4 linked regions of the Styela clava genome follow. The protein of the gene in region 1 purifies or fractionates together with the protein of each later gene. This does not show direct contact. Links are inferred from orthologs where the notes say so. Each region holds a gene or a part of one and is shown on either strand. Other genes may lie near its edges. The genes, in order: E3 ubiquitin-protein ligase HECTD1-like, structural maintenance of chromosomes protein 2-like, cytoplasmic 60S subunit biogenesis factor ZNF622-like and structural maintenance of chromosomes protein 4-like.

What was found.
Region 2: the proteins of E3 ubiquitin-protein ligase HECTD1-like (region 1) and structural maintenance of chromosomes protein 2-like purify together in Homo sapiens (affinity purification with mass spectrometry; 3 studies listed by BioGRID, with this or other methods). This does not show direct contact. The link is inferred for Styela clava from reciprocal best matches to the Homo sapiens genes HECTD1 and SMC2.
Region 3: the proteins of E3 ubiquitin-protein ligase HECTD1-like (region 1) and cytoplasmic 60S subunit biogenesis factor ZNF622-like purify together in Homo sapiens (affinity purification with mass spectrometry; 4 studies listed by BioGRID, with this or other methods). This does not show direct contact. The link is inferred for Styela clava from reciprocal best matches to the Homo sapiens genes HECTD1 and ZNF622.
Region 4: the proteins of E3 ubiquitin-protein ligase HECTD1-like (region 1) and structural maintenance of chromosomes protein 4-like purify together in Homo sapiens (affinity purification with western blotting; 3 studies listed by BioGRID, with this or other methods). This does not show direct contact. The link is inferred for Styela clava from reciprocal best matches to the Homo sapiens genes HECTD1 and SMC4.

What each region holds. Positions count from the first base shown.
Region 1 is NC_135255.1:18,151,257-18,159,091, reverse strand, and holds the start of E3 ubiquitin-protein ligase HECTD1-like, read left to right. Parts: upstream 1-4,825; 5' UTR 4,826-5,198; coding exon 5,199-5,338; intron 5,339-7,835. UniProt on the Homo sapiens protein: E3 ubiquitin-protein ligase which accepts ubiquitin from an E2 ubiquitin-conjugating enzyme in the form of a thioester and then directly transfers the ubiquitin to targeted substrates.
Region 2 is NC_135264.1:15,679,544-15,687,299, forward strand, and holds the start of structural maintenance of chromosomes protein 2-like, read right to left. Parts: upstream 3,010-7,756; 5' UTR 2,912-3,009; coding exon 2,744-2,911; intron 1,854-2,743; coding exon 1,566-1,853; intron 832-1,565; coding exon 712-831; intron 222-711; coding exon 103-221; intron 1-102. Other genes in the region: transcription initiation factor TFIID subunit 11-like, read right to left, coding at 5,560-5,715, 6,237-6,393, 6,783-6,881, 7,481-7,583. UniProt on the Homo sapiens protein: Central component of the condensin complex, a complex required for conversion of interphase chromatin into mitotic-like condense chromosomes.
Region 3 is NC_135263.1:18,717,901-18,723,906, reverse strand, and holds cytoplasmic 60S subunit biogenesis factor ZNF622-like, read left to right. Parts: upstream 1-3,883; 5' UTR 3,884-3,940; coding exon 3,941-5,302; 3' UTR 5,303-5,494; downstream 5,495-6,006. UniProt on the Homo sapiens protein: Pre-60S-associated cytoplasmic factor involved in the cytoplasmic maturation of the 60S subunit.
Region 4 is NC_135251.1:14,605,265-14,612,921, reverse strand, and holds the start of structural maintenance of chromosomes protein 4-like, read right to left. Parts: upstream 3,026-7,657; 5' UTR 2,989-3,025; coding exon 1-2,988. UniProt on the Homo sapiens protein: Central component of the condensin complex, a complex required for conversion of interphase chromatin into mitotic-like condense chromosomes.

The sequences.
Region 1 (7,835 bases):
GTAAGATTTTCCCCAAGGGCGCCGCCGCTCGATAACTAGTTTTGGTTTTCGGCGTCTCCTTTCACCCTGTTATGCGATTTTTATTATATTTTCTTTAATTTGAGCATGTATAGTTTGTATTTTCAGCATGATGAAAAAATAAATTACTAATTACTGACTGATTACTCGCCAGTTGAAACGGGTACTATGACGTCACGATTCTGGTACCATGACGTTTTACTACAACCTCAAACTTTTCAACGTTTTTTTTAATTCAAGTCATTACCAAATATACTTACTTATAGCCACAAGTGTATAGTTGGTATTTTCAGCGTGGTGAAGAAATAAATTACTGATTAACAGAACGTTCCACACAGCAACTAAAATCATCAAAAATGTCGTTGGACAAACCTCGGATGTATCTACCGATGTAGTACGTAAATTAGTGGATTGTGTCGGATATTGGCGGGTTTACAGACTTATGGTTCTAGGAAAATTAGCAGCAAGAAATTTCGTCGTAGGAAATCTCGCCGCAGAACATTTGGCCGCAAGAAAATTCGGCGCATGGGGAAATTCGCGGCATGCAAAATCGTCGCAAATACATTTTTCTGTAAAACAAGTATTTGTGATAAAAACAGTTATGTTTTTGACCTTTTCATTTAAAAAGATTAGTTATTTAAGAGCATACCCTAAACCTATAAACCCAACGGTTTTTATTATTACAAATACTTGCTTTACAGCAAAATGCTCTTGCAGCGATTTCTCATGCGGCGAAATTTTCCGCCGCAGCATTTCCTACGGAGAATTGTACGAACACGCAGACTCACCCCGCGGAATTTTATGTTTGGATAAGATTTTCATATTTATTCTGGGAAAAGGGAGGTCGAGTAGACAGCCTAATCACACGGCTAACCACGATCTTTAGTCCGGTTACCAGTTCATGTCGGGTATGGCAGCAATTCCCAAAATCTTTGCTCATTCGGCCCCGAATTATCAGGGGAAAAAACCCACGCCGTACTTAAATGAAAAATTGCTGACTTTTAAAAACTCAATTTTGTAATCGTTAAAGACTTAAAGTGTACTTTATGCTTTTTAAAGTTTGTAAATATACAGGCCTAAGTAATAAACGCTCGGGATCAACTCGGATCTTTCGTACAAAGCTAATCCCCGCAAAAGCTCAAAATAAAAAATTAGGTATTATTCAGATAGGGTCAGGAATGCAGATTGCGCCGGAAATTCAAATTTTTAACACAATACTAACGCTAACTGGATAATTACCAATTTTTGTTTAAAAATGTGGCGGGGTGTTATTCTCAAATCTCACATTTTTGCACTAGAGACGGGGCCTTTGTACAAAAGATCTGTCAACTCTTCTTCATCATCACAGCGCGATTTTCCTTTGAAATACTAAAACAATCACTCATGTTCGCCAACCTCGGTTCAGAAGATACCTAAACTGCAGCCTACAAAATTGTAGCGAGAAGTGTCTACCTCTATTCTTACGTAAAGCAATAGACGGGTAACATAAATTTATAAGTATAACAGCCGTTGTTACGACATAAATACCTGCGCAGAGAAATTGGTACTCCCGAAGTATGTGTACCAATTTTTCTTACTCTGGGAGTACCGAGAAATTTTTGTTTCATGCATTATAAGCGGTACAACTTCGCGCGGGTCGCATTTGGGAACCTGTTTTTGAATTCCGATATCTTACTTCTTCAGCTCTTATTTCGTCGCCATCGTGATCCACGCTTGGCTATATATGTGATTCGATAGATAAACAAGTTAGTAAATTATTTTAATAGCAAAGAAATATTATTTTCGGTATGTTCTCATATCAGAATTCGAAAAAAATGGTAATTTGCTCATATTTGTTTCCAGAAATCTGGCAACGCTATTTATATTTCATGTCGTTTTTTTGCTGCCCACTCGCGGTACGGAAAAATTGTAAATGTTAAGTTTTTTGCCGCAGTTCAATATATATGAATATTCAACAACAAGATAAGCTGTTTGCTTTGATAACTGTTTAAAAAATATTTTAGCATTTTATGCAGTACCCAAAACAATGGGATACTAATTTAATCGATCGATCGCGAAACCTTTACTCAACGCTCAGAGTTTTAATAGTCTGTCGAAGTCTTTGTATAATTTGCCCAAAAATTCGTTCGTGATGAATGTATATTTATAAAATAGACAAACAAAATCGTGACATTAATATCACAGAAGTAACTATGCCGATCAGTTGAATTGTGAATTCATTTGTCTTCACAAAAACTGTTTATTCAAGTGTAGACGAATGTCGATGCCAACCGAAATGATTATCCCAATGAGTAATTACCATCTTGTCCAGATTCAATATCCATTTTCGTTGTTTATATGATAACAAAACAAACACCTATTTCGCGATATAAGTATGTAATTCAATATTAATCTCCACTAAATGATTCAAGAGTCTTGCTGCACACTAACAAGAATACCGTATGTTTTTGTAACGTTACAGCAATATATTTGTGTTATGTGCAGCAAGATCACTTCGGATAGTTATATTTACTTTTGATACAGCATCATTGCATTTTATGCATACGGATCCACCGTCGCAAAAGCATTGAAAAGCGATAAGTAGTTAGTCCCGCAGAAAGCAAATCATTAGCGCAAATCTCCGCTAATGCACAAAATCTTTTCGTGATTAGCTATCACAAATATGACGTCACAGCTTTTTTCGTCACGTTGCTGTTTGTATTCTATTTCGCCATTCTGCGTCAGCTGGCGACCGCGGTTGTTTTCTCGTTGCGCTTCTTTGTCATTGTTTGTCTTTGTTTTCCTCTGTGCCACGCGTTTGTGTTGCGGTTATAAGGAGTTGAGTCTTTAGGGGGGTATGGTTCAGTTGAGATTTATGAAAAATATCACTGTTTTGAAGGCGGGATCTGGTTAAAGGAGAACATTATGTTTGTTTTCTCTCCACACCCTGACATCGCCAGACTCACAGACTGTACGGTATCCTACAGCCAGACAGTACGGTCATGACGGTACGGTACCGTATTCTTGTATACAGGTATAAGTTTATCTCGACTTCATAATCATCATAACAAGCAATAAAATGAATGATAAAAACAAATTAATAAAACTGATAATGAAATCAGTGAGACAGTGGTATAACTGCAGAACTGTATAAGTATGAGCTCGGCAGTGGCGCGGCGGTGTGGCTCAACGGGCTAAGCGTTAGGAATACGCTCGCCACCGCACCTCTAATTACTCTGCGTGGGTTCGCAGGTTCTAATCCCATGCAGGGATGGTTATGTGCGAGAGGATTGCTGGACTCCTCGCCGTCGTTGGGTGGTTCACGTAACCGCTGGTCGGTTACGGCTTCCTCCACCACCCAGTCTGGATTTCATGGCCTTTTTGAACGAGAAATCGGGCGTGCAATCAGAAATTCCCGCGTGCAAATAAGAATTCCTGGCGTGCAATTATAGCTCACGACGTGCAAAACAACTGCACTCGCGTGCAACTGACTTTGACATCAGATACCTCTCAATACATCCGCGTAAAATTACCGGTATCGGATAAAAAATACGTTGAAACAGAGAAAAAATGGACGTTTGACCTTTGACCCCAAACATTATTTCTACAGTTTGTCGCTAATTTTGAGAGTGTTTGTGCGACTTTGGATACCGGTACTGTTCAGTACATCCGCGTAAAATTATTGGATAAAAAATACGTTGAACCAGAGCAAAATGGACATACTTTGTCATTAATTTTGGTAGTGTTTTTACGTAGAATTAATGGATAAAAAATACGTCAAATTAGAGCAAAATGGACGTTTGACCTTTGACCCCAAACATTATTTTCATACTTTGTCACTAATTTTGGGAGTGTTTGAGCAACTTTAGATACCGGTACTGTTCAGTACATTCGTGTAAAATTATTGTATGAAAAATACGCTGAATCAGAGCCGTACTTGGCCATTGGTGCGGAGGCGATCTTTTCGTCCATAACTATTCTCACGGGATTCCTATCTCCTATCATTCAACACGATATGGACCTTTCCCCGAGCATCGACTTCCTTGTTTACTTCGTGACATTGGCCAATCAGCAAGATGCAAAAAAGGACGTAACAATGAGAGGAATTTTTCGCGGGTCAAAGGTTGGGGAAAGGTCCATGGTCTTTTTGCTTCGCAATATTTCGATCAGACCAAATCTTGCAAGCTGGTATTTGTCGACAATTGTGGAGTTATAATATTTTGGCATCTTTATATTACTGGATTATTGATTTTAAAACCATTTAAACCGATTTACATTGGTGAGCAATTGCAAATTTTCGGCGTGCAAAATTGATTTCGCTCGCGTGCATTTTTGCGGAGCGCTAGCGCCCTCGGGCGTGCACCTGCCATGGAATCCAGTCTGGTCCACCACCAAGTCCATGCTTCCGAAAACAAATAATACAGTAAAACTAATCCCATACCCGACTTGGAATGGTAACCGGACGAGAGGCCGTGGTTCGCCATATGAATAAGCCGTCTTATCGGCTTTCCTCTCCCCCGGGATAAATATGTAAATCCTATCCAGTGTGGCGCATCGTGCTAAGCGTTAGGAATACGCTCGCCACTGCATCTCTGATTTCCCTTCATGGGTTTGCAGGTTCAAATCCCATTCGGAGATGATCATGTGCGAGAAGATTGCTGGACTCCTCGCTGCTGTAGGGTGGTTTGGAATTGGATTGATATTTTTTTTGATTATTGAGTGTCTTTTCTTAGAAGCAAGAAAACATTAATTTCGATCTTATTACAAATACTTAAACTGCAATACAAACAGTAATAACTATTATTCTTCAACTTTAATACACAGTTTATTTTACTATCATTGTCTGCAAACTGTTAAATCAATACAGAGCAACACCGAGGTTCACATTCAGTGTCCTCATTACCATCAGTGAAAATGTCTTTGTGACTCGACGCAAGAGATTGTGCACACACAGTGCATAAGGACATTGGACCATATCAAACTTCATATACAAGGCAGGATATCACATTATTGGAAACTGGTGCTGTAACAAGCCTATATAAGTCATAGGCTTATCTAATAAGTTATTGTAAACTATCGGATTGATTCTTGCATTTATTGGATTATCTCAATCAAAAACGCAGAAGTAAACTTGGTTATTGGGAATTACATAGATAGAATTTTTAAATAAATTCTGATTTGAAATCGTCAACCCTTCGACCATGGCAGATGTTGATCCAGATACTTTGCTGGAATGGCTTCAGATGGGATTAGGAGAGGAACGTGATATGCAACTAATTGCATTAGAACAACTATGCATGCTTCTGCTTATGTCTGATAATGTGGACAGATGCTTTGAAATGTAAGTTGGATTATTTTTACTTTCAAACATGGTTGTCCAGAGTGAAATTTGAACATATTGCTCGTATCACGTAACTGCTGGTGGTTTATGGTTTATCTTAGTTGCCCTTAGGGCCGGTTTTTAATCATAGTTTGAAACGATATTTGCCAAAGTATTTTAATAAAAAAATGCAGGAGTTTGAAAATCAAAAATATATGATTTTCTTATTTTCTCTGTTTCTTGGAAGCCCGTTATATGCCGGTAGTTTTTTCAATTTCCCATGCATTGTACATAAGTTTTAACATAAGGTGTCATATTGTATGTCACAAGATAGCAATAACGTCACCAATGTGATTACCCAACTCAGCATGTCATACTAATGTTACGTCGGTTGAGTCACAGGATGCCATATAAGTCTATTTCTGATTCTGTATATAATGGATGCGCACGACAAATATTTTTGTAGTTGCTGTGTGTCATTCACTAAACACATAGACATAAAAAAAATCTTGTCCTTGTTGTCAAAGATATATTCTTAGGCTATTCTGAGAACTAGAATGAATATTTTTTGATTTTAATGCCGAATTTCCTAATAAAAAAATAGCTCTTTTATTTAAAAAGTGATGTGTTTATGCATTGGGTTTTTTGTTCATTAGTTTCATCCATTACTAATTTTTATTGACATGCTGCACACTGCGATATGATTTCTCAGTTCTGTCGCCTTCAGCTGATTTAAAAAAAATAGAGATGGCCGAAGAATTCAATCCAAATAAAATTCCGAGTCGCAATTCTTACCACTTCATGGCAGATCCTGCCACGAACGAACCGATGGCAGCCCTTGCCATGGGATATGGCGCTATTGCTATATGGCGGTTTATTCACAAAGTCATGTACCAGATATTAGTTTATCATGCGGAATTATATCTACTTAAACCTGAAACCTAACCCCAAATCCATCAAAACTGTATAAGAAAAATGTTCTAACTTACCCAATTATGTCATCGTCAAGAAAGCCCTGCCATTATAGTCGACATGCCGTGCTTATGGCAGCAAAATTTAACCCGCCATTGGTTCTCAACTTGCTGCCATGGTAACGGCATCTCGTCATTGGTTTGTGGCAGCTAAAAAGTAAGTATCGGTAAATAATGGCCATGGTTTGAAAATCCCGCCATGGTTTTGAAGAAGCTTCAGACGCCACAGAATACTTAAAACTGCACTTGGAAATTTCTCATTAATTCAAACCACAATGTAGGGGTTTAATTTTTTTGGGTCACTCTGTACTTAATAATATCGATGTGGGACAAATGGCACATATTATACAATATCAATATTATTTAATGTCATTACTTATCGATCTTAATAAGATTGGTACGTATGTTGATGGGTATTTGTCTGTTTGTCTGTCTGTCTGTTAGATGCATGCGATATCTCACGAAAGCGAGGTTTAATCTGCCCCAAATTTTGCATGTGCATTCACCATAGCTCGTACCAAAAGCCTATTGATTTTGGATGAATTATGTCATATAACTTGCGAGTTATTAATTAATTGGTGAGTACTATAGAGTCTGAGTGAATGAATGGGGGATCCCCAACTTTTATCGATAAGTCTTCGGTCTCCGACCGATATTCTCGTTTTTTCTATTGATGCTTAATCTTATATAAGTGTTGAAATTTAGAAATTGTGGGTCAATATTTGTATTTGTCACTAAATTAGGATATATCAATTAAAGATCAAAAATAAATTTAAAATAATCATAAATTTTGTAAGTTTTATTTGGGGATTAATAAAAATCGTTACTTAGGATGATTTATAGGTTTATTTTAAACCAATTAAACCTTTTGCGCTTCCCAGAGGAGTAGTCACAGCTTACTGGTTTTCTAATGATGATCATTTTAATGTTGCGGTTCATAATAACCCAAATATGCTTCGTTTTAAGTTGACCAATATAAGTACAGGTGTTCCTTGTGTCTGACTGGCTTTCCTACAGTTTAATTAACGATATCAAGTTTTATCATCCTTAAAACAATAGTTGTCTTCGGTTGAAGCTATTGTATTGATTGTAAATTGATATCAATATATGTTTGGTATGTACTTTGGTATGTATAGGCTTTGGTTGTATTTATCTAAAAGAAATCTTCCAATAATGCCTACATAACAATATATTTGATATACACATACAAATCGATCAATGAATTTGGATAGACATTGCCGGTTGAAAATTAAAAATTTATAACCAAAGCATGTATTATGGTATGCTGAATAGAAGGTAGCTTTTATGTATATATGCTGCCTTGTCTAGAGGCATGAAAACACTTAATTGGTTTCTGCGAGACTAACTACTTATCCTGCTTCTATGCTCTTGCGCCGCCGGATTCATATGCTTTTCTTGTTATAGTTGAACTATGTATGTCTGGAGAAGTCTGACCTTGGTCAGACGAAACGTTACAGAAATATATTTGTGTTAGTGTGCAGCAAGACTCCTGAATCACTCAGGTTAAACATTTTTGTTATCTATTG
Region 2 (7,756 bases), on another chromosome or scaffold:
GCGAACAGAATTAGTTACAGCCATATTGGTTCACACACTTCCGAAGCGTGCCCCTAGGAAGGCAAGTTTGAGAATACCTGACCAAGAAAAACAATGACCCACCTTGTCAATCTATCGGCTTCTCTTTGAACCTTTTGAAATTCTAAATAGGAAGTTCGATCGTCTCTTAATTTTTGCAAAGTCGGCATAATTTCTTCTTCCAAAACTTGATTGATTTGATTCTGCCAAGAAATAGGGGATGAATATTGAAAAAAAGTCACAAGCAAACAGGTCAAGTCAAATTTATTTTTTCCAACCAGTAAAAAAAAATATCACACGGGCACAAATTACGAGAAAACGATAATTTAAAATTTAACTGGGGAAGGGGAGTCGCGGAGAACCAAAGCTGGTTATAGAGCAGCGACACCCGAGGTTCTAATATCCAAATCAAAAAGTTGGAATTCTAGAGTTTTGAAACTACTGACATCAACAGTGAGTACCGTATGAATTATCTAACTAACACTGCTCACCAGAGATTGAAGAGCCATAAGACCAGCATACAAATGCAAACATGCAATATTCAAATCGACACCAGTCAACCAGCCAAAAAAATAGATAACGAATCAAATCTTTGTTTATATAACCGCCGATTGCTTGTACAGGACTTTGTTTAGAGTTAAGACGTGAACAATCCTTGCATAAAAAAAATAGGAATTGTCACATTTTCCTCACCAATTTACTTTCCTTCTTTTCAATCATTTTCTGAGCTGATTCTTTCTTTGCCTCGTACATACTCGTTCCGGTCGCTTCTTCAATCATAGAGAGAATTTCTGGAGGTTTCATGTTCATTACCTGGAATATTGAGATAAAATATTCAGTTTTAATAGAAAGGGGACAATGGTTACAAGACTGGATCCTGTATTTTCAAACTCCATGCAGTCAGAAATCGACAGAGATAGACAAACCGTGACTCGCCGAAGCATTTTTGGAGAAAAGTGTGAAAATTTTTTTCAACTACACACAAAATTAGGACATTTTATAACTTCATTTAAAATAACTAAATAAGCTACGAATTGTTAAAATAATGTTAATTTTTTTTTTTTTCGTCTTCGAGTCGATTATGTCAGCCACCATTCAATCAGAGCAAATGGAAATAGTGACATAACTGTGACATCACTGGTGACCCTACGCAAAAATGATTTTCTTAATGAGGCCCTCCTTGCATGAAAACTTTTCCCACCAATGTGGAATGAATGAAATCAGTTGATAAGTTTTACGATTGTGAAGTCTGGATTGTATGGCAGAACTGAGAACTTCCCAGAGAAATTACAAATTCTACAGACGTCTATTGGTGGCAAATGAACTAATGTAGGCTAAAGATTTATGGTATTGAAATTACAGAATTCTTAGCTGCAGCCTGATATTAATTTTTTTTCAATTTGGAGTTGAGTGTCGCAGACTAAACACAAATAGTTGTAATAGCAATTGTGATAACCCAAGAGAACACACAAATTCGTTAATTAACTAATAATTCAGAATCATTAAAGATTCGTTTGGAAAATGAGAAACAAAAAGAAACAACTAACCTTAGTCACTCTGCCTTGCATAATCAAGAAATGAGGATTATTGACGTTCAATCCAACTGAACGAAACAGATCAGAAACTCTCGAATTTTGAGCGTTTACTCCATTGATCAAATATTTATTTCGACCGCCGATAACAATTTGACGAGTAATAGTGATTTCGTTATGAGCTTCCATTCCAAGCGGGCTTTGCTCTTTAACAGAATTATCAAACGTGATTGATACTGTAGCTTTGTTGATTCCGGCTTGTCCATTTTTGTAAACAAGATCTTGAAGATTTGAGGCTCGAACCTGAAACAAAATATTTATAAATGTTTTAATGGCAGTGGTGTAAAAGTTTTCATAGGTGTTTTCAAATTTACCAGAAAACTACACAGAAAAAAAAATCACCATGCTTGGCTCAATAATAATCTAAATTAATCACGGCCATCACGTGACCAAAATTGCCGTTTTTTGCTAAAAACTCTCGAATGCCACGGTAAATTTTTTTTTTTTTTCAGTAAATAGTGAGGAATTCAATGATGACATTTTTAGATTGCGCTTCTATGTAGTTTTTTGTGCAACTTCATTTTACTGTATTTTTACCGATATTGAGGGACAATAATGTCCAGGCATCCTCCAGAGGAGGGGTGTTCGTTTATCTACAAAATGGGGTTCTCTGCAACGAGACAATGTCTCTCGATCTGTAAAGTGTGCCGTACCAAAATATAAAAAATGATAAAAAAAATGGAAAAATACACAGAAATCAGACATAACCTTTAGTCCATTAATCTGAATGCCTGAGCCCCACCCCCACACATACTGACATATACACTTTTTCCATTAACCACACAGAGTTAAAAAAGAAAACAGCAAAATCAAATTGCGAATGTTTTGTGATAAAAAACTAATCCAACCAAGATAAGATGAGTTTATTTCGACTCCCTGACTCCATAATCAGCATAAAGTCCATTCTGCCATTGGGCGTTTGAATTTGTTACACTCAAAATATATTGATTTGACAGTAAGTACTGGAGTAAACAGTCTTGTCAGGTCAGTTAAATAAATGCAATCTGACAATCCTGCAATTAGCCTAGTCGGAATGTCTGTAATTGGAAATTATCATGCCCCTACAAATTGAATCTAATTATACCAACAATTCCCTTTAAATATAAACAAAACAGCAATAAAGCATAACATACCTGAGATAAATTTGATATTCCCAGAAGAAAACAAATCGCATCCAAAATATTAGACTTTCCACTGCCGTTCAGTCCAGTAATCGCGTTGAACAAATAGTCAAATCCACTAATTTCTGTTCTTTGGGCGTAGGATTTAAATCCGTCTATGGTTACAGACTTTATGTACATTTTGTACTGAAAATACGGCTCCGAATACAGCCTAATTCTGTGATAATCAGCCACCAAAAAAGCAAAACCCAGGTCCCAGGATTCCGAAAATTGTAATAAACTCGGCGACTTTTTGCCGCCTTTTATCGTATGCGTTCAATTTACACCGCGAAATTTTGATTTTTTAAATGATATTTTTTTTGTATTGACGCATCCGTAGTAGGCTAGTATATATTTACGACGCAGGATAGGATAGGATTTACATATTTATCCCGGGGGAGAAGAAAGCCGATAAGACGGCTTATCCATATGGCGAACCACGGCCTCTCGTCCGGTTACCATTCCAAGTCTGGTATGGGATTAGATATATTGTTTGTTTTCGGAAGCATGGACTTGGTGGGGGAGGAAGCCGTAACCAACCAGCGGTTACGTGAACCACCCAACGGCGGCGAGGACAGCAATCCAGCAATCCTCTCGCACATAACCATCCCTGCATGGGATTCGAACCTGCGAACCCACGCAGAGTGATTAAGGTGCGGTGGCGAGCGTATTCCTAACGCTTAGCCCGTTGAGCCACACCGCCGTGCGAACAACCTGAGTGAGATATTAATGCAGTAATGTTTGTGAACCACAGACCTGAGCCACATATAGTTTTTATAGATGATGGCAATGCGATACACTCAATAAATACCGGTATAGATTAAATCTTTGGGCCACATTCAGACATACCGGTATTGATGATAATCAGGTACCGTACTGTACACTCAACAAATTCGTTACTAACTTACTAACGCAGTCAAATTTTTTTAAACGTTTTCAATCAGAATTTTTATTGGTATTTATGATAAAATAAGAAGCTAGTTTGTGTTTCTTGCATAGTATTACGTCATGACGTCATTGCTGGACTATTTTCAATTTTATTCAAAATTTCTAACAAATATGAATCAAAACTTTTACAATTTTAGAAAAACAACATTCAGTGATATTGATTTTAGGGAATAAATTTGTTACAGTACATCAGTGGGATATAAATCCAAAAGTATATTAGGATCTGAATCAGCACAGGAATGCGTTTGAATGTGAAACTACAAGAATTATAAGTATATTTTAAATCCATAATCAGCATAAAAGACAATAAAATAATTGATAAAAACAAAATAGGTAAATAAAACTGATTATAGAATCGGGAAAGCGAACAAAATCCAAAGTAAAGTGCAACAAATATATTGCAACGCGATCATCGTGTTGTAGCCTACTTCACAAAATGCCAAGGACCTGGAGGACGGGCATAACTTAATAAAAAAGTTAAAAACGTACATGTACGTGCCCGTCCACCAAAAGAACACAATAAAATAAAGGCACGATGTAAAATCGGACAATACCTTTTATATCAATTTTAAAGTGTAAGACACTGGCTAAAAGAAGATCATGGCAATACTTACTACAAACTAGAATTCAAAAAAGAACAAAAAAAAAATTGTGGTTGCGATTCTTATGTGGTGATTACAGAAAAAATTGATTGTTACTTCATGTTAGTCGTTGTTCATACCTGAACGTAGCTTTGGAGTGATTTTGGGTTCATTTGTTTTGGAGAAAAATACGTCGTTTTCAATTTGTTTTCCAATATTGACTTGGCAACCTGTTGATTAGCTTGTAAGACCAGGAACCACCACTTATTAAACTTATATAATATCACATATTACTGATATTTAGTTTTGATACAAATGCCCTGTAATGAGCGTGGAAAAGTTCTAAACTAGTTTTCCATGTGACGTTTTCTTTATATCTCAGCGTCCAACTCTCTGTTTTCGATAGCATTGCTTGCCAATCTAGAGCCGGTAGGAAGGTTTTTAACTTTCAGAGCAAACGGCATTATGGAACTTTTGGACCTCCCGAATTCTCAAATAAATTCCATAAGTCTGCACAACTCCTACTTGAACAAATCTTTATTGGAACATTGATAAGTTGCAGTAAAAGTACGGATTATTAAATAGAAAGATCATGATGTATACACCACCCCACACAGGGTGTTCTAGATAGGATATAAATATTAATCCAGTATAGAAAAGCTGCTATGATGACTTCCATATCGTCCGGTTAGCTTTCAGGTATGGAATTATTTGTTCAACTTCACTTAAGAAAATCATGTCACACATCAGTTAGAATCATTCGTTCCTTTTTTTTTAAATCTGCTTTTGGCCTATTTTGGAACTTTTTATTTATCCTTCCCTATGCATAAAACTATATTATCTGTCCAACCTTCAGTAGTTTATGATAAGTATTGTATTTGCAGTAATAATACGAAAACTAAAGAACAACAGTAATACCACAGCGACTACAAAATTGAGAAACACGGTGTAATATTTCTTAACAATATTCCCAATATACAGGGTGTCCTACATTTGATACATCTGTGAGGGCCAAAACAATATAGTGCATTGATAAATTTCCTTTGCAATTAAAAAAAATTAAGACCTCATGGACACCCTATAATTCCAAAATAAACAGTTCTGATTCTGAAAGATTATGTCATGAAGCATCACAAAAGTCCATTTTTTCATGATTCTGATAGGAAATTGACAGCAATGTACCCATCTCTTAACCAGAAAAGCCATTCAGGACAGGCTTGGTAGGATTCGGCCTTCGGCAAAACAATTCAAATACAGGCATCATAATGGGTTAGTCTTCAGTTTAGAAAACGGGAAAGTTCTTCTGGCTTTTAATTTTCTGATTGCTTCACGAATATGTTTTGGTTTCACTGGAGGCGTTTCCCCTTGTTGCTCCATAACATCAAGTGCTATCTCCATGATTTCACCGACATAAACCTGATAAAATATAGGAAACAACAAAATCAGAAAAATTGTATCAGATTCTAGTGAATGGAAAACTGACTTGACAGTTGGCCAATTATTTCCAGTAATGAGAGCAAGAGAAATATTGGACTTCAAAGTAATTTTCTCAAATAATTTGTTAAGAAATTCGAATCCATGAGATTTTTTGTGAAAGATTTAATCCTAAACTTGGGTTTCTTGAACTGTTGGTGTTATGGAGCCTGTCAAGGGCCTGAATATTTATTTACAGTGCCCCACCATGAATTTTTTAGAAACTATTATCTATTCTATTGGAACTTATAGATAATGTCATATTTAAATTACCACCTTATTTCCACATTTCAACGCTACTGTTGTCAAATTTTATTAATGCCGTTATTCTTTGGACAGTTACAAAATTAGCCAAGTCAGTATTTTAATAAGTAAATGAATGGCTTGCGGAGCACCAAGGTTTTTCCGCACTTTGAGAATCTATGCCCTGAACTATTCCAATACAAAGATAAAGACGAGCTTACTTTGGACACTCCAGCAACTCCTATCACCACATTTTGTGATACTGTGCATCCAGCGATGGATTGCATTAATCGTTTTATTGAAGCTTTTGGAAACGATGAACGTCTGTACATTTCATATCTGTTTAATTGGTCTTCAGAGAAAGCTGTCACAAGTCGCCTAAAAATAAACAAATTTAAAGAAAAGATTTGAGCATGTTGGGAAGTCTGATGAGCAGATTCTTTACAGATCACCAACTTGAGTGTCATCTATTATCTATATAAATTCACTGTTTGTGAACGCATAACACATTTAACCTAATGTAAATACAACTGTTACAAAAGACCATCTTAATGCAACCAAATAATCCAATCAGTTCGTTAAAATATAATACAAAGCATATACAGGAGAAATGGCATGATCGTAGTTTGGCATGTTTCCATGGAGTTGGTTCAAAATTCAAAACATTATAAAATTCATAAAGAATTCATGAAGAACATTACAAAACAAAATTCATGAGAACATCAGAGCTGCTGTAAAATATAACTAAATTTAAATTTCCAACTTACTGCATTTTCATTCTTTCAACTCTTCCTGATTTTTCTTTTTTTCGTTTCGCTGATAATATTTCATCAGCAGTTGCCTGTTGTGCTGACGTAGGATCTTTTCTGAAAATAAATAAAAAATTTGAAAGTAAAATATGATATAACTGATATTGGATTAATAACATGAGATTTTTCTGCCCAGTCACGCTCCAATTGGAAATTGGAGAAGTGGAATAGAGCAGCACCGGCATTAGCCCAATTAGATGAAATTATTCCGCTCATTCACGCTTCAATGATAAAAACTCGGGTTTAGTCCAGATATCTAGCCTGAGAAATTAGAAAATAAAATATGGCAGCACCGGCACTAGCTTAATTAGATGAGAATATTCCACACATTCACGCTTCAATGGGAAATTTCAGATAAAGTCTAGATATCTAACCCGGGAAATTAGAAAGTGAAATATGGCAGCAGCGGTATTAGATTAAATAGATGGGATTATTCTGCTCAGTCACTTTTCAGTGGAAAAAAATCAGGTCTAGTCTAGACATCTAACCTGAGAAATTACAAAGTGGCATGCGGCAGCACCGGCATTGGATTAATTCAGATGAGATTATTCCGCTCAGCCACACTTAGAGGGGAAAAAATTCACATCTAGATGTTTTACTGGGAAATTGAAAAATTTTGATAGTAAATTTCTTTTAACTAGCTTCTTTAGACATACTTTGGTGATTCTTTCGATGAAATTGATGTATTTTTGTCTCCTTTGCTTGGGCTTTCTTGAGGTCCTGATGGCGAACCAAACTTTCTTTTTAATTTTGAAGAACCTGAAAATAAAGATACCTCCTAAAGCAGCGGCTCCCAACCGGGGGCCTGGGGCCTATGCAAGGGGCCACAGAGGAGTTGAAGGGGACTACAATGTTAGAAGCAAAACCGCTTCTAGCATTCCTTTACTAAAAAAAGTCCCTGTTCATCACTTGTGATAAATAACAGAGGTTCT
Region 3 (6,006 bases), on another chromosome or scaffold:
GTAACATTGTTTTCTGATTTTTCATTTATTTCTACAGCTGTTTCAAGTCAAGTAAACTGTCTGAGTGCCATGATGATGATCAATTTCATCAGCTCTATTGGAAGAGCAAATTTGTGAGTTTGTCACTATTTAAATGCCATATTATTTGTATGTGAACTGTCCTAAATTTATGTAGTATCAGCTGTTAAATGAAAATTATTTTTAATTTGTGTGTATATTCTGTATTATTCGTATAGTGTGAGGATACTTTTATTCTAGTCATTTCTTTTTACATGCAGGCAAAACTAGTATCACATGATTTTAGAGTAGAGCAAAGTTGTTCGACATGCAATCACAATCGAAGACAAAAGAGTTAATATCTGAAAACTAAGAATACTCTACTGTTTTACTTTTCCAAATTCATATAATTAAATATACATTGGATTTTACGTAATTCAAAACTATCATTTCAGAATACAAAAAATCTGTACAAATTCGAATACAAATCATTCGGTTTTAGTCATTGCCTAGGTCAAATTTGCTTCTTTAATATCTAGCGCACTTCATCAATATACTATCTTTAACCCTGTATTTTTATTTTTATTGTTCAGGTCATGAAGACAAACAACTGTTATGGATAGAATTATAGTAAAAGTCAAGGTTGCAGCAGTGCTTTATTCTACGCCTCTGTGTCCAGCAAATATGTGGAACCCGGTTAACTTAAGCTTAACAAACAAATAATTCTTGCAATAATTCTAAAACATTTAGAGGAAACATAGTTATGTCAATTTTTCGTCACTTGGCGAGTCTTCCGCAGAAGAAATAAATAAAACCTTCAAATAGCAACGAAAGCAACAACTATGATTGCACCTGTGTCTGTGTGCATTACGTTGACACATTCCTGTCTCAAAGCTGTAGATCCAGGATAAAATTTAGCACCTCTTCCGAATTGATTCTATGCTTTTCCATTTCTTGAATGTCAGTACATTTTAGCAGTCATTTGAACAAATGAATATTAGTTATTTTTGCAATACAAATTTTCAAAATAATAAAATGTTAAATATGTAGAAGCCTGTGGCCCAGAACTTGCCAGGGATAGGTTATCAGCTGAAGTGTGTTCATTTCGTCTGTTTTCACTCTAAGTAGGATGTGGGTTCTGTAATTTAAGTCTGTTTGTTGTTACGCTGAGGTTTTAGGAGTAAAATATTAGATTCAGTTGGTGTTGTAGACCAGGGTCGTCCAACTCGTGGCCCGCGAGCAATATGTAGAAGCATTTCTAGGTGTTTGCAAAAATAGCCTGTCAAGACAGACCATAACTCATCGTGTTGAAGAGCTTGGGAATTCTAATGCGGGAATTTTAAATGCAGAAGCGGAAAATGTTTTTATCGTATTCCTTGGCGCTTGACGATGCGCTGACATTAAGTTTACTGCTCAGTTAGTGACTTGCTATCTTCTTGCGGGTAGTTAATGATGGTATAAAATCACCGTGGAGACTGCAGCCATTGCCCCTGTTAGGGGTACGACTAGAGCTGTGATAAAAATGATCAAGCATCTTGTCTTTGGCTAAACTTTTGGGAATAACCACTGATGGCGCCCGTCAATGGTTGGAAAACAAGTTTTATTGTTCTAATAATTGGGAAAGTTTGATGTGAGGGTATTTTTTTTATTTTTAACCTGTAGTAGTGTAGCAAAACTAGATCATAACTACCATGTCAAGTGGCCCGCGCAATTATTTTTGAATCACGTGTCCCTTCGACCAAAAAGGTTGGATTTATGATAAATTGTTATTATTTTGACATTTCGGGTAATGCGCGTCAGCTCTTCGTAGGTCTGCCGCCCAGCTTGTTTTGCTTTGGCAAAATCAACGAAATACATCAAAAACCGACTTTGCAAAGACAGCAAATTACAACAAAATCGGGTTCGCGTTGTCATCGCCATGGGAATACGAGGTCAAAGAGCAACATGCCACGACGTTTTGATGAAATGCCTCGTGGCGTCGGACTTAAACCAGGATTAGTTAAGTAACCGCTAAACTGGGTTTTTGATCTCCGTTTAACTTTCGAAGTTAAACCGAGTTTAACTAATCCGAGATTAGTCTTAATCCAGGTTTAAGTTAAGTGAGGTTTTTGATCTCCACCCTTAGTGTTGTCCGTTCTGGAGTGAGTTTGAGAGCCAGGTCGATTACGAAAACAGATACCGGTATGGTAACGATAGTTGATTGTTTAAATACAGAAATAGCATATCAAATAGAGTTCAGTAAACAATCAAGCACAACTAATGCTATCGTACAGCACACTATACAAATCGAGTGACATTGTCCCGTTTCAGAGAAACACATTTTACAGATAATCAGACACCCCTCCTTTGGGAGACGTATGAGCATTGTTGTCCCTATATATTGGTTATAATACAGTATAATGAAGTTACGCAAAATACTACAAAAAGCGCAATCTAATAACGTCATCATCGAATTCCTTGGGAAAAAAAATCCGATTTACTGAAGGAAAAAAATTTTTACCGTAGCATTCAGGAGTTTTTGGCAAAAAACCGCAATTTTAGTCATGTGACGGCCGCGATTATTTTAGATTGTTATTGAGACAAGCATGGCACGATATGAAGCATCTGATGTGATTCCAGAAGCCCCTCGTTTGTGAGACACATAGAGTGTTTGTTTTATTGAGCTAAATGGAGGGAAATTCTTGGAATTCGGATAATGCTGGCCCCTAGTCTGTAGAGTACCAAAGCCCGGGGATGTGGCTCATCATGCTAAGCGTTAGGAATACGCTTGCCATCGCGTCTCTGATTACTCTGTGTGGTGTAATGTAGCGGTTCCCAATGGATTCGCCGTAACGAGTTGCCAAATGCGCCGCAAAAACTAACAGAATTGTGTTAAACATACTGAAAATAGAGTATATTGAATATTTTACATATTGTATTTATTATAAATGTTTTATTATTCCCTAATTTAAATGCTGTGTATATGAATCAACAAATTCATTTCACCTTTCTATGTCGTTTACTTTTCATTACGTAGTGTTTGCCTCTAATGTTACGTCCAATGAAGATAGAAGCACTTGATGCAATTTCGCGAACTGCAGACCTACAGTTTATCTGCTGAATCGTATTTAGCGAACTTGAGTAATTTTTTCAGCATTTCAAAGTAAAACCAGGCAGAGATGGAGGAAGAAGAGTTGACCTTTGCCTTTATTCTTTATACCTACTTGTTTTCTGATAGCAAAACCAAAAGGATTGCTCTAAACTTGGGATAATGGTAATGAACTTGAAAGTCAAAAAGCTAGGCAGACGGTTAACAAAAATAACGCTCGCGGAACACAGTTTGGGAACCGCTGGCATAGAGGATTGAAGCAATGTTTCATTGTATCAATCAATTTCTGAATTTCAGCTCACAGTAAATTATGTTATTGTGATCAAAATTGTACTATATAAGCCTCACCTCCATAGGGTGGTACGCACTGGTCGGTTGCTGCTGTACTGGTATCAAATACGGCTTTGTCCACCATCAAGTTCATGCATCTGAAACAAATAACTGCCTAACTATTCCCATACCTGACATGGACTGGTAACTGGACGAGACGCTGTTGTTCGCCCTGTGATTAAGCCCTCTCATTCCTGTATTCAGCTTTTATTTGATCTTGGTCAGTATTCCTCCTTGTCATCTGAATTTCTCTTTGAAGTTGCAACATTTATTGTCCAAAAAAAGGACCAAAATATTTTTCTGGTTTATGGAATTTTCAATTATTCTGTCAGTTTTTTCTTGAATGAACTTTTCATTGCAACCACTAATTTTTGAAATATGATGCTGGCTGTGAATAGTCACATGCTAAGCTAAGACAACATTAGTTTTCCCATTATTATCAATTCCTAATCATTTATCTTGTGTAATTCATACTCCATTATTTACAGGCAGATTTATAGTAAATAAATATTGAAAACATATAATATGTCTGCTTATACATGCATAAGTTGTCATGTGGCATTTTCTGACCCTGATCAACAAAGAGGTCATTATAAAACTGATTGGCATCGCTATAATTTGAAGCGAAAGGTTGTTGGAATGCCACCAGTTTCTGCATCAACCTTCCAGGAAAAAGTGAGGGAGCGCCAGGTTGTCACTGCGGACAAGGACACTGAAGGCATATCTGGCTTTTGGTGCAAACTATGTCAAAAACGTTTCAATTCACATAATTCATTTGAAAATCATAAGCAATCAAAAAAACACAGAGAATATGAAAATGCTCACTTGCAGCAAGTAAAACAAAATTTATCCAAGGAAGACTTGAAAAATGAAAAAGATGAATCTGGTCTAAACGAAAGTCAATCTATGAAAAAAGCTGTTGCTGATGCGAAAGCAGATTTAGATAAACCTAAAATATTACGGGCAGATGAGAAAGTAAAGACCACAAAAGAATTTAAATCTGGTGACAATCCTCGTATGAGATGGTTCAAAAAACAAGCAAAAGCCCTAAAAGAAGCAGAACATGAGGATGAATGGGAAGATGTAGATTCTGATGAAGAGATGAATGACGAAGAAGCTGATGAAGAGGAAATTATCATGAAAGATGAAGATGCAGATATAGAATCACTGTCTTCTGACATACTCACTGGTTTGAAACAGAGACAGATTTCTTCTCAGGAATGTTTATTTTGTCTTAAATCATCAAAAGACATTGAGTGTAATGTTCTTCACATGTCAAAGCAGCATGGATTTTTTATTCCAGATATTACATTTTTAACCGACTTGGAGGGATTATTGAACTATCTTGGTGAAAAGGTTGGAATGGGTAACATATGTTTGTGGTGTAATGAGAAGGGAAAAGCATTTTATTCCATATCTTCTGTATTGAAACACATGAAAGATAAGGGACATTGCAATATGCTTGTTACAGGGGATGCTGCATTGGAATATGCAGATTTCTATGAATTTGGTGATGATGAGGAAGAGAATGACGTAGAAATGGATTCTGAAGGCGAGGAAGATGATGATAATGTATCTGCAGATATAGATATACAGGATTTAGAACTGGTTCTACCATCTGGGTCATCTATTGGTCATAGAAGTTTAATGAGATACTACAAACAGAACTTTCCACCTGTTGAAAGGCATACATCTAAAAAGCAAAAGCGATTAGCTAGGCTTATTGCGCAGTACAAAGCAATCGGGTGGCACAGTTCTTCTGCATCTGATATTTCTCGAGCTCAAAAGGACATGGCCTACCTCAGGACAATGAAATCCAAGTTCAGATTGAAATTATCAATGAAAAACAACAAAACCCAAATGAAACATTTCAGAATTCAACTTTAAATCTGTACAATTTGCCAAATTGTGCAAAATCAGGGGCTATAATTTGCAATTCCAATCAATGAATTTATTGTCATCCTGTAGTTAACCTTTGTTTGGCGATGAATATTCAATTTAGTCAAACTAACTTTTAAATCAGGACCATTCTAATAAAAGTATGAACACTTTAAGACAATACACTCCTCAGCGAATTGACTGCCAATTGCACTTGTTTACTATCACAGGGTGTTCCAGGTACCGTACCACGTTGGCAGTTATGCTTCCTCCAACAATCATCCATTATGGTGATGCAAATAATATGGCAGTTTGATGCATAGGGTCCCCATAAATATGGAGCAAATAACCGTGCAAACCTTGATTCAAATCGAGCCTTAGTAATATTCAACTTATTGGGAAAACTTGCACTTTTGTTCGCCATATTAGAATCTATTGAAGTGAGCAAGTAAATGATAAATGTCTCTGTTAAAAATAAATTGAACAAATTGCGTCAATATTAAATGAAAAATATTTATGACTGCCATACCAAAACATTTGAATGTATGGCGCGGGACACCGGGACGTATTAAAAACTACTGACACCTGATGTGGTCTGCCATATCATTGCGTCCTCTGCTGAATGTTTTTTGATCAGTTGTAGCTAATTCTTACTCCCATTCAGTTGAGTAAAATCTGGACTGGTTTGAAATGGAATTTCGCAAGAAAAATAT
Region 4 (7,657 bases), on another chromosome or scaffold:
TGATTCTCTATTACCTTCCTTCGTCTTGTTCTCACGTTCTTCAATTTCTTGAAGCGCCATTTGACATTCTTGTAATTGAACTCTCACTTCTTGTTTTTCTTTTTGAACTTCTTCGGTTTCTTTTAAAAGTTCTGAAGCTTCTTCTTCGAGTTGCGTCCATTGTTCTTCTAATTTTTTCAAATTTTCTTCATTTTCTGTGATCTCCAATTCTAGTGCTTCAATCGATTTTTCGCTTTTCTGAATGTTACGTTCAGCTGTATTAATACCAACTTTTAGTTTTGTGATTTTCTTTTTAGAAGCATTCATTTCACTGATGATTTTATCAAGAGCCTCTTGTGCTGGTTTCAGTTTCCTGCTGTTAATTTCATCAATTTGTTCATGGTAACTGTTTTTTTCTGCTTCAACTTTTTTAGATTTTGCTACAGCAGAATTGTATTCTTTCGTAACTTTATTCAACTTGTTTTTCATCTCTTCCTGTTTATTTGGATCGGGTTTCGTTTTCTTAACTTCTTTTTCACACGATGGTTTTTGTTGTTCCAACTGTTTAAGTTGAAGATTTAATCCAGAAGCCTCTTGTTCGAGCTCCTCCGTTCTACACTTTGAATTACGCAATTTTCTTTGGAGTTGTTCAACTGCTTCTTCAGCAAGTGCAATCTCACCCCTAAGAGAGCGTAATTTTGTCTCCATTGCTTCAGCTTCACTTTGCATTTTTCGCAGTTGCTCGAGTGGAACAGCTTCTTGTGCAACGCACTTTGATCCCATACGACCTTTCACTACTCTGTTACCGCCACCAGTCATAGTACCGGAAGTATCAATGATCTCTCCTTTTATAGTGACTACTCTCCATCTGCGATCTTTACCATAGGCTACCTTGGTGGCTTCAGAAAGATCGCTAGCAACTAAGGTATCACGTAAGGCGTGGTAAAATGCAACTTTAAACTTTTCGTCACTAACACGTATCAAATCGACCAAGCGAGGAAGTGCAGACCTTGGTTTGTTTTGAACTTGTGACCTATGGCGATCCATTTTATCCAATGCAATGAAGGTTGCTTGACCAACATTATTCACCTTGAGGGCTTGAACACATTTCTGTGCAGTCTCAATATTATCAACGAGAATATTTTCTAGTGCGGGACAACAAGATGATATTGCAACATCATATTTTTCATCAATAGCTCCCAAATTTCCAAGTCTTCCATATATCCCAGGCAATTTTCCCGAGGTTTTTAGCTGCATCAAAAAATCTGTTACTTTCCCTTGAGATTTGGCAGATTTTGAAGAATGCTCTGCATCTGCAAGATGTCCTCTGGCAGCTTGTAGTTTGGTTGACAAATCTTGTTCCTGGGTTTTAAGATTTTGTAAATGTTTTGTCTTCTCTTTTAATTTTGTGTCAAGCTCAGGTAGAGAATGATTGAGATTCTCTCTTTCTTCTCTGCTGCTTTCCAACATCCTAGTTACTTCCTGAATTCTTGAAGTGACCTTTTCAAGAGCAACTACGGCATTTTCATGGTTGCTTGTATAAATTTCAAGTTCTGCTGCCGCCATATCTTTTACCTGTTTTGTATCATTTACAACTTTCATCAATTCCATGAGGGGTTTCTCCTTTTCTTCAATCTTCATCTGAAGATCAGATGTTTCATCTTTCAAACTTCTCGTGACTTCAGTAAGATTTTCATCTGCTTCTTTTTTCCTTACTGCAAAACCCTCGAGTGCTTTTGTCAATGTTTCTAAATCCCGTTCATGAGCGCTTGGCACTTCTTGGAGTTCCTTGAATTTGCGTTTTTCTTTTTCAACTTTTTTGGCTAAATCTTTTGCCTTTGCTTTTGCGTGTTTGCGATCTTCAAAGACTTTGATGTTAGTCTGTTCTAATTCACCCATTTTATCTTTTTTTTGCTGACACAACGACTCTTGCTTTTCCAACATCTTTGAAATCTTTTTGACTGTTTTCACTTTCTCTCTTCTTTCCTCTGTAATCATCTTGAGCGCTTCTTCCATTCCAGTCATTTTTTCTTTCAGAGCATCTCGCTGTACAGCATATTCTTTCTCTTCTCTGCTAATATTACTAATATAATTTTGAACAAGTCTGTTCTGCAATTCAGCCATTCTATTCTGTGCTTTTAAGAAGTCAAGTGCTTCATCTCTCAAAGGTTCGAGCTCATCTTTCTCTTTTTCGACATGTTTGACTCTTGCGAGTCTTTCGCCGCGTTCTTCACTCAACTCTTCTACCAATTTTGCCAGTTTTTCAATTGCCTCCTTGAACCGAGAAGAACCAATGATATCTTCTAAAAATTCCAGCATTCCTTCATCATGTGCTGTTTGTGCTTTTGGTTTCATCATGGCAATTTGTTCAACTTCTCCTTGCAGAATTAAAAACCTATTGTGATCCAGATCAATTCCACTTGAACGAAGGAATTTGGCTACTTCCTTAAAATGAACTCTTTTTCCATCAATGCAATAGTAAGATGAATTATCCGAAGAAGCAGTACGAGAGACACAAAACTGACTGTTGGGCACAACTTCAAATTCATCTTCACTTGTATCAATAATTGATTGAAAATGAACTTCAACAGTACAACTTGTTGCATTTTTATGATTTTCACTGTTGTGGATCATCACTGATACTTTTTTTGACCTCAATTTGTTGGAACGATACCCAAAAACGAAAAGCATAGAATCAATAACATTGGACTTCCCACTTCCGTTTGGTCCAACAATTCCAGAAAAGCTTTTGTGAAATGGTCCAAGTACTTGAACTCCAGCATATGATTTAAAATTATGATTCACAATATGAGTTATCATAAGCCGTGGTTCGCCTGCAGCACCGACACCAACAGCCAATGGTTTAGGTGGGATTGTAATTCCCTCTGGAAGATCAAGTTCCGCTACTTCTTCACTTCTTTCATCATCTAACTCCATTGGTGGCTCTGTGTCAGGATCAGGAGTATCCATCTTATTATCTTCAGTATTTTCCGTGGCAGTTTTAGTCATTTTAATATACTTTATTTAAAAAGACCAGAAAATAATACCACAATATTAGTATCAAATATAAATACGAAGCAGTGCGATGGCCTAGCGATTGAGGCATCAACTTTAACTGTGTTGGTATTACAGATTAAACATATCAGGTCCTAATCCCATGTCACCCACCTCACCCAGTTCGGAATACATTCAGACATTGGGATAACAATGCCGAAGCAGAAAGATTCAGGTGCTTCCATACATGCAAAAATACGCACTCGTAGCAAGTTTGAGGACTTGGTTCAATAAAACAAACACCCTATTTGTCTCCAAAATGAGGAGTGTCTGCCATGACAACCCAGACTGTCTCGTAAAAAGGAGGTATAAATTGGCAAACTAGTACTGCGCAATAACCTAAAAAAGAAGTGCAATCTAAAAACATCACGATTGGATTTCTTGAAAAAAATCATCCGATTTATCAAATGAAAAGAAAATTTTACCATAGCATTCAGAGAGTTTTCAGATGAAAACGCCATGTTGGTCACATGACGGCCGTGATTAATTTACCATGGATTATAATCGAGACAAGCATGGAATGATCTGACGCATCTGCCTTCAGACACTCTCGTTTCAGAGACAAATAAGAATGTTTTTTCATTGAACCAAATGTCGGGACATCTTGAAATAAGAGAACTGTGTCCTACTGGATAAAGTACCCTTTGACAACAAATTCTCTGGGAGTGGCATAAATATAATTACCGATGGAGTTCATCATAGTTTGTGTTGGCGGATGCGTCAAATTTTTTGACCATATTGGCGCTATAGAGATTATAGGGGAAATCATGCAATTCTAATTGGGGATATCGACTAAAAATAAAGTGGAGGTATTAACGCTTACGCAGAATATTCTGGTTCGCTCAAAATTCGGAAATTCATATAAATTAACACTAAAAATATGATCATTCTGATGTCCAGCTACAATACAGTGAGGAATATTACTTCTTAATATATACTAAAATTTCCCACATGCTAGTCTACTGCAGTGAAACATTAATTAGTCTAGGCATCTGAGTTCAGGCTGTCGCAAGAGTTGGCCCGTTCTGCCGTTTGCAGGTTTGTTTATTATAAATATCAGTCCTGCAGTCTGTCAGTGACAAAACTTGTAAACTGTTAAGGTACGTAAAAATGAGCTTTGGTCAAGCATGCGCCCAGACATAGGCCTATCAGTCAACATGAGTGTCATTATTATTACATTTGGCCAACATTTTAAAAACTTACTGCATTCCCTTTCTACCAAATTTTATGTCTTGTCAACAGAAGCCAGAACAGCGAGACAGCAGAATGCTCAGATCTGCTGATACGGTAGTCTACGGCAGGGGTGTGCAAACTGCGGCCCGCGGGCCAAATGCGGCCCGCAAGAAGAAGTTGTGCGGCCCGCGGAGAAATAACGAATTCGAATGGTGTACCCGCAAAACGAGTATTTATTCTTTTTCGTCGCAAAGCCCATACCAGTCATATTAGCAAAACAAGCTAGCAAAATTCTGTTGCAAAATACACGATTTATATTACAAAAACGTGTTTCTCACTGCATTCGTTTGAAGTCGGTGTGACAAAAAATTTAAATATCAGTTTCTTCAGAAGTTTATGCGTTTTAAATCTACTATTTCTGCAAGAACCCTTAATAATGCCGTAAGATCAATAGCAAATATGCTATAGGCAATTTTTGTGCTTGAAACTACCAGAAAGCCTAAATTAAATAAAGGTGCGGCCCGCGGCTTCACCCAGTTACTTGTATTTGGCCCGCCAATAAAAAAGGTTGCACACCCCTGGTCTACGGTACCGTACCGGTACCGGTATCGGTACTGCAGTAATGCAAGTACCGGTACTGAAATGGCATTATGTCAAAACTGGACAAGTTATACGAAAACCGATAGTATGTAAGTTACCGTATATACCGTAATTACTTTTCGAAACGTTTTTGTTTTTAAGTACAATGAAAAATATCTATAAACTATTCGTATACCTGTCACTCATGGACTATATGAATATCAAAATAATACATCAAATATAATAGAAAGCGCGGGAATCGCGAGACCACGAGATGGCGTGACCCATAAAATTCGTCATGAATGGGCCATTTCACGGGTACAAAAATGCATGAATATAAACTTACCCGGATCAATCAAGGATAGGATAGGATTTACATATTTATCCCGAGGGAGGGGAAAGCCGATAAGACGGCTTAATCATATGGCGAACCACGGCCAGTTACCGTCCAGTTACCAGTCCAGGTCGGGTATGGGATTATTGGACACGTAGTGGACATAACGATCGTTTCAATATTATGTTGTTGTTGTTGTTCTTGTTCTTTGACACGTTTTTAAAAAGTCGCCTTTCTCTTCGAATACTGGACCAATTGCTTTGAAATTTTCAGTGGTTAAAGATTAATTTTTTCGCTAGAAGGCTATTGCTTTTATTTATTTCAAAATTTTGCGTGAATTCTATGAAATTTGATATTTCGTCTAATATTTTGCTGTATTATTTTTTATCCATGGGAACACGGATTTTAGTCAGTGTCATGACTGGCTGTACGTTTTGATTCTGCAAAATTCTTGCTACTGGAAATTAGGAACTTTTTTGAGGGTACCGGTAGCGTCAAAGGTACCGGTAAGGACTGATTCGCTCTGGTCTGACGTGTCCATATATTTGTGCGTAGCTCTCTTGTTAGTTATCCCGTAAATATGGTTAGCCAGTTATTTGTTTTCCGAAGCATGGACTTGATGGTTGAGGAAGCCGTAATAGAATGAGGCCATCGATGAAAAAAGGTAAGTAACATACAAATGGCAAATCGATAGTAATAACTCAGTAATAATCGATAGCAATGAGTCTACGAATCTTTCTATTTCATATACCCCAGAATATTTAAAATCCGTGATTATTATTTTTTTCGCTATTGTATGGGTAACCAATAACATTAACTATTAACATTAAAGTTTAATGTCATTGGAGTAACTTAAATGCTTTTGATGTAAACACCAGAAAGCGTGGATACCCGTGATCAGTGGCGCAGCCCATGGGGGGTTCAGTGATTTCCCTACACCCCCCCTATACCCCCCTAAAATTTCAAACACCCCCCCCCTAATTTTGAGGTGCGATTTCACACTGAGGGGTTCTAAACCGCAGTCTGCGGGCCAATTACAGCCCGCGCGACGATTTAAAATGGCCCGCCGAACTTGAGTGAAATAGTTTAACCCTTCATGTGGTACCTTTTGAGTTTTAGATACCGTCTATTGTTACATCATTATCACAGTTTAAGCACGTTTATTTCGTAACAATTGAATTATTCCGGTATCTTATGTATACGTATGGGTATTAGGATTACACACTGCAGTATTTTAGATATCAGCCGTATATTAAGAAAGCTTAAAGATGTCACAAAACGAAAACTAGGCAATGAAAATGACGTTTTTTAGATGAATGACAGCGTTTTTATTTCTTTATTGAAAAGAATCAAGCTTCAGCGATTTGTCTTCTTACCAACAAAATATTTCAGTTCTGAAGGAATACAACATTATGATCAGTTGACGAGCTTATTTCAAAATTTAATTCATACAAAAGTCAAACAAACATGTTCCAAAAAATTAGAAATGTGTAACAAAACGTAAGTAGCCATTCATACAATGCCAGATGAGCAAGTAACTTCCTTAGTCACTATCAGTTGCAAATTACTTGTTGAAACGTAGTAGTATATATTTACGGTTGAAAGCCGTGCTTGTTATCTATTCCCCGGGAATTCTATCAGCTAAATTTTCTAATTATTGATTTCATTACATAACAAACTGCGATGCTAGGTGTATCTAAAATCAAGCTTAGAGCCTATTTTGGTGCCTATTTCTCAAAATTTTCTCAGGCCGCTTGAGCGCGCCCTGAACCCCAGCCGTGTCGTCCCGCACTTTTCCTCGCTCCCCTTTTCTGGCCCTACATTTTTATTCTTCTGTGGATTTTGGCTCGCGTCAATCATCTTGGTCAATCAACAATGTACATCGTTTCTTAAATACATACCATTTTGTTAAGAATACAAATAGCCTAGTTTTATCTCTAATAGCAAATTATTTACCACCCTCTAAATTTTGAAACACCCCCCCAACTTTAACTTTTTATTCATTAATTGAAATTTTCGTCGAAAATTTTTGTGTTAACATTATACGAGGTTGGAAACGCTACTTTTCCCGAGTTGTGATGCTATATAAGATAATTGATCTAAACCTAAAGTATATTCAATCAATTTTTATTGTGCTGAAATAAATTTTACTCTGTTAGGTTTTACAGCAGATTTACAGATTTTTTGAACGGTTTTACCTTAAAAATAATCTGAGTGCTAGCATTGCGATTGAGCGGAGTCAGTGTTGCAAGTACGGCTCAGATTTGTCGAATTCGCAAAATGGCAAAAATACGGATCAAAACAAAATATAATCGGGCAGTTTATCACATATTTTTATGTCTGCGGATTGCCGTGGTATTTTAGAATTATGATGCTTTTATTTTGTCGACGCATCCGCAGGCTTATAATTGAAGACAAATATTTTTTTTTTCAATTTCCAAATTCGATCAAGATTATTAATCTTTTTTTTTAATTTTGAATATCATGGTTTTAATTACCATTTAAAAAAGTCATATTGCCTATACGAATTATAAAATC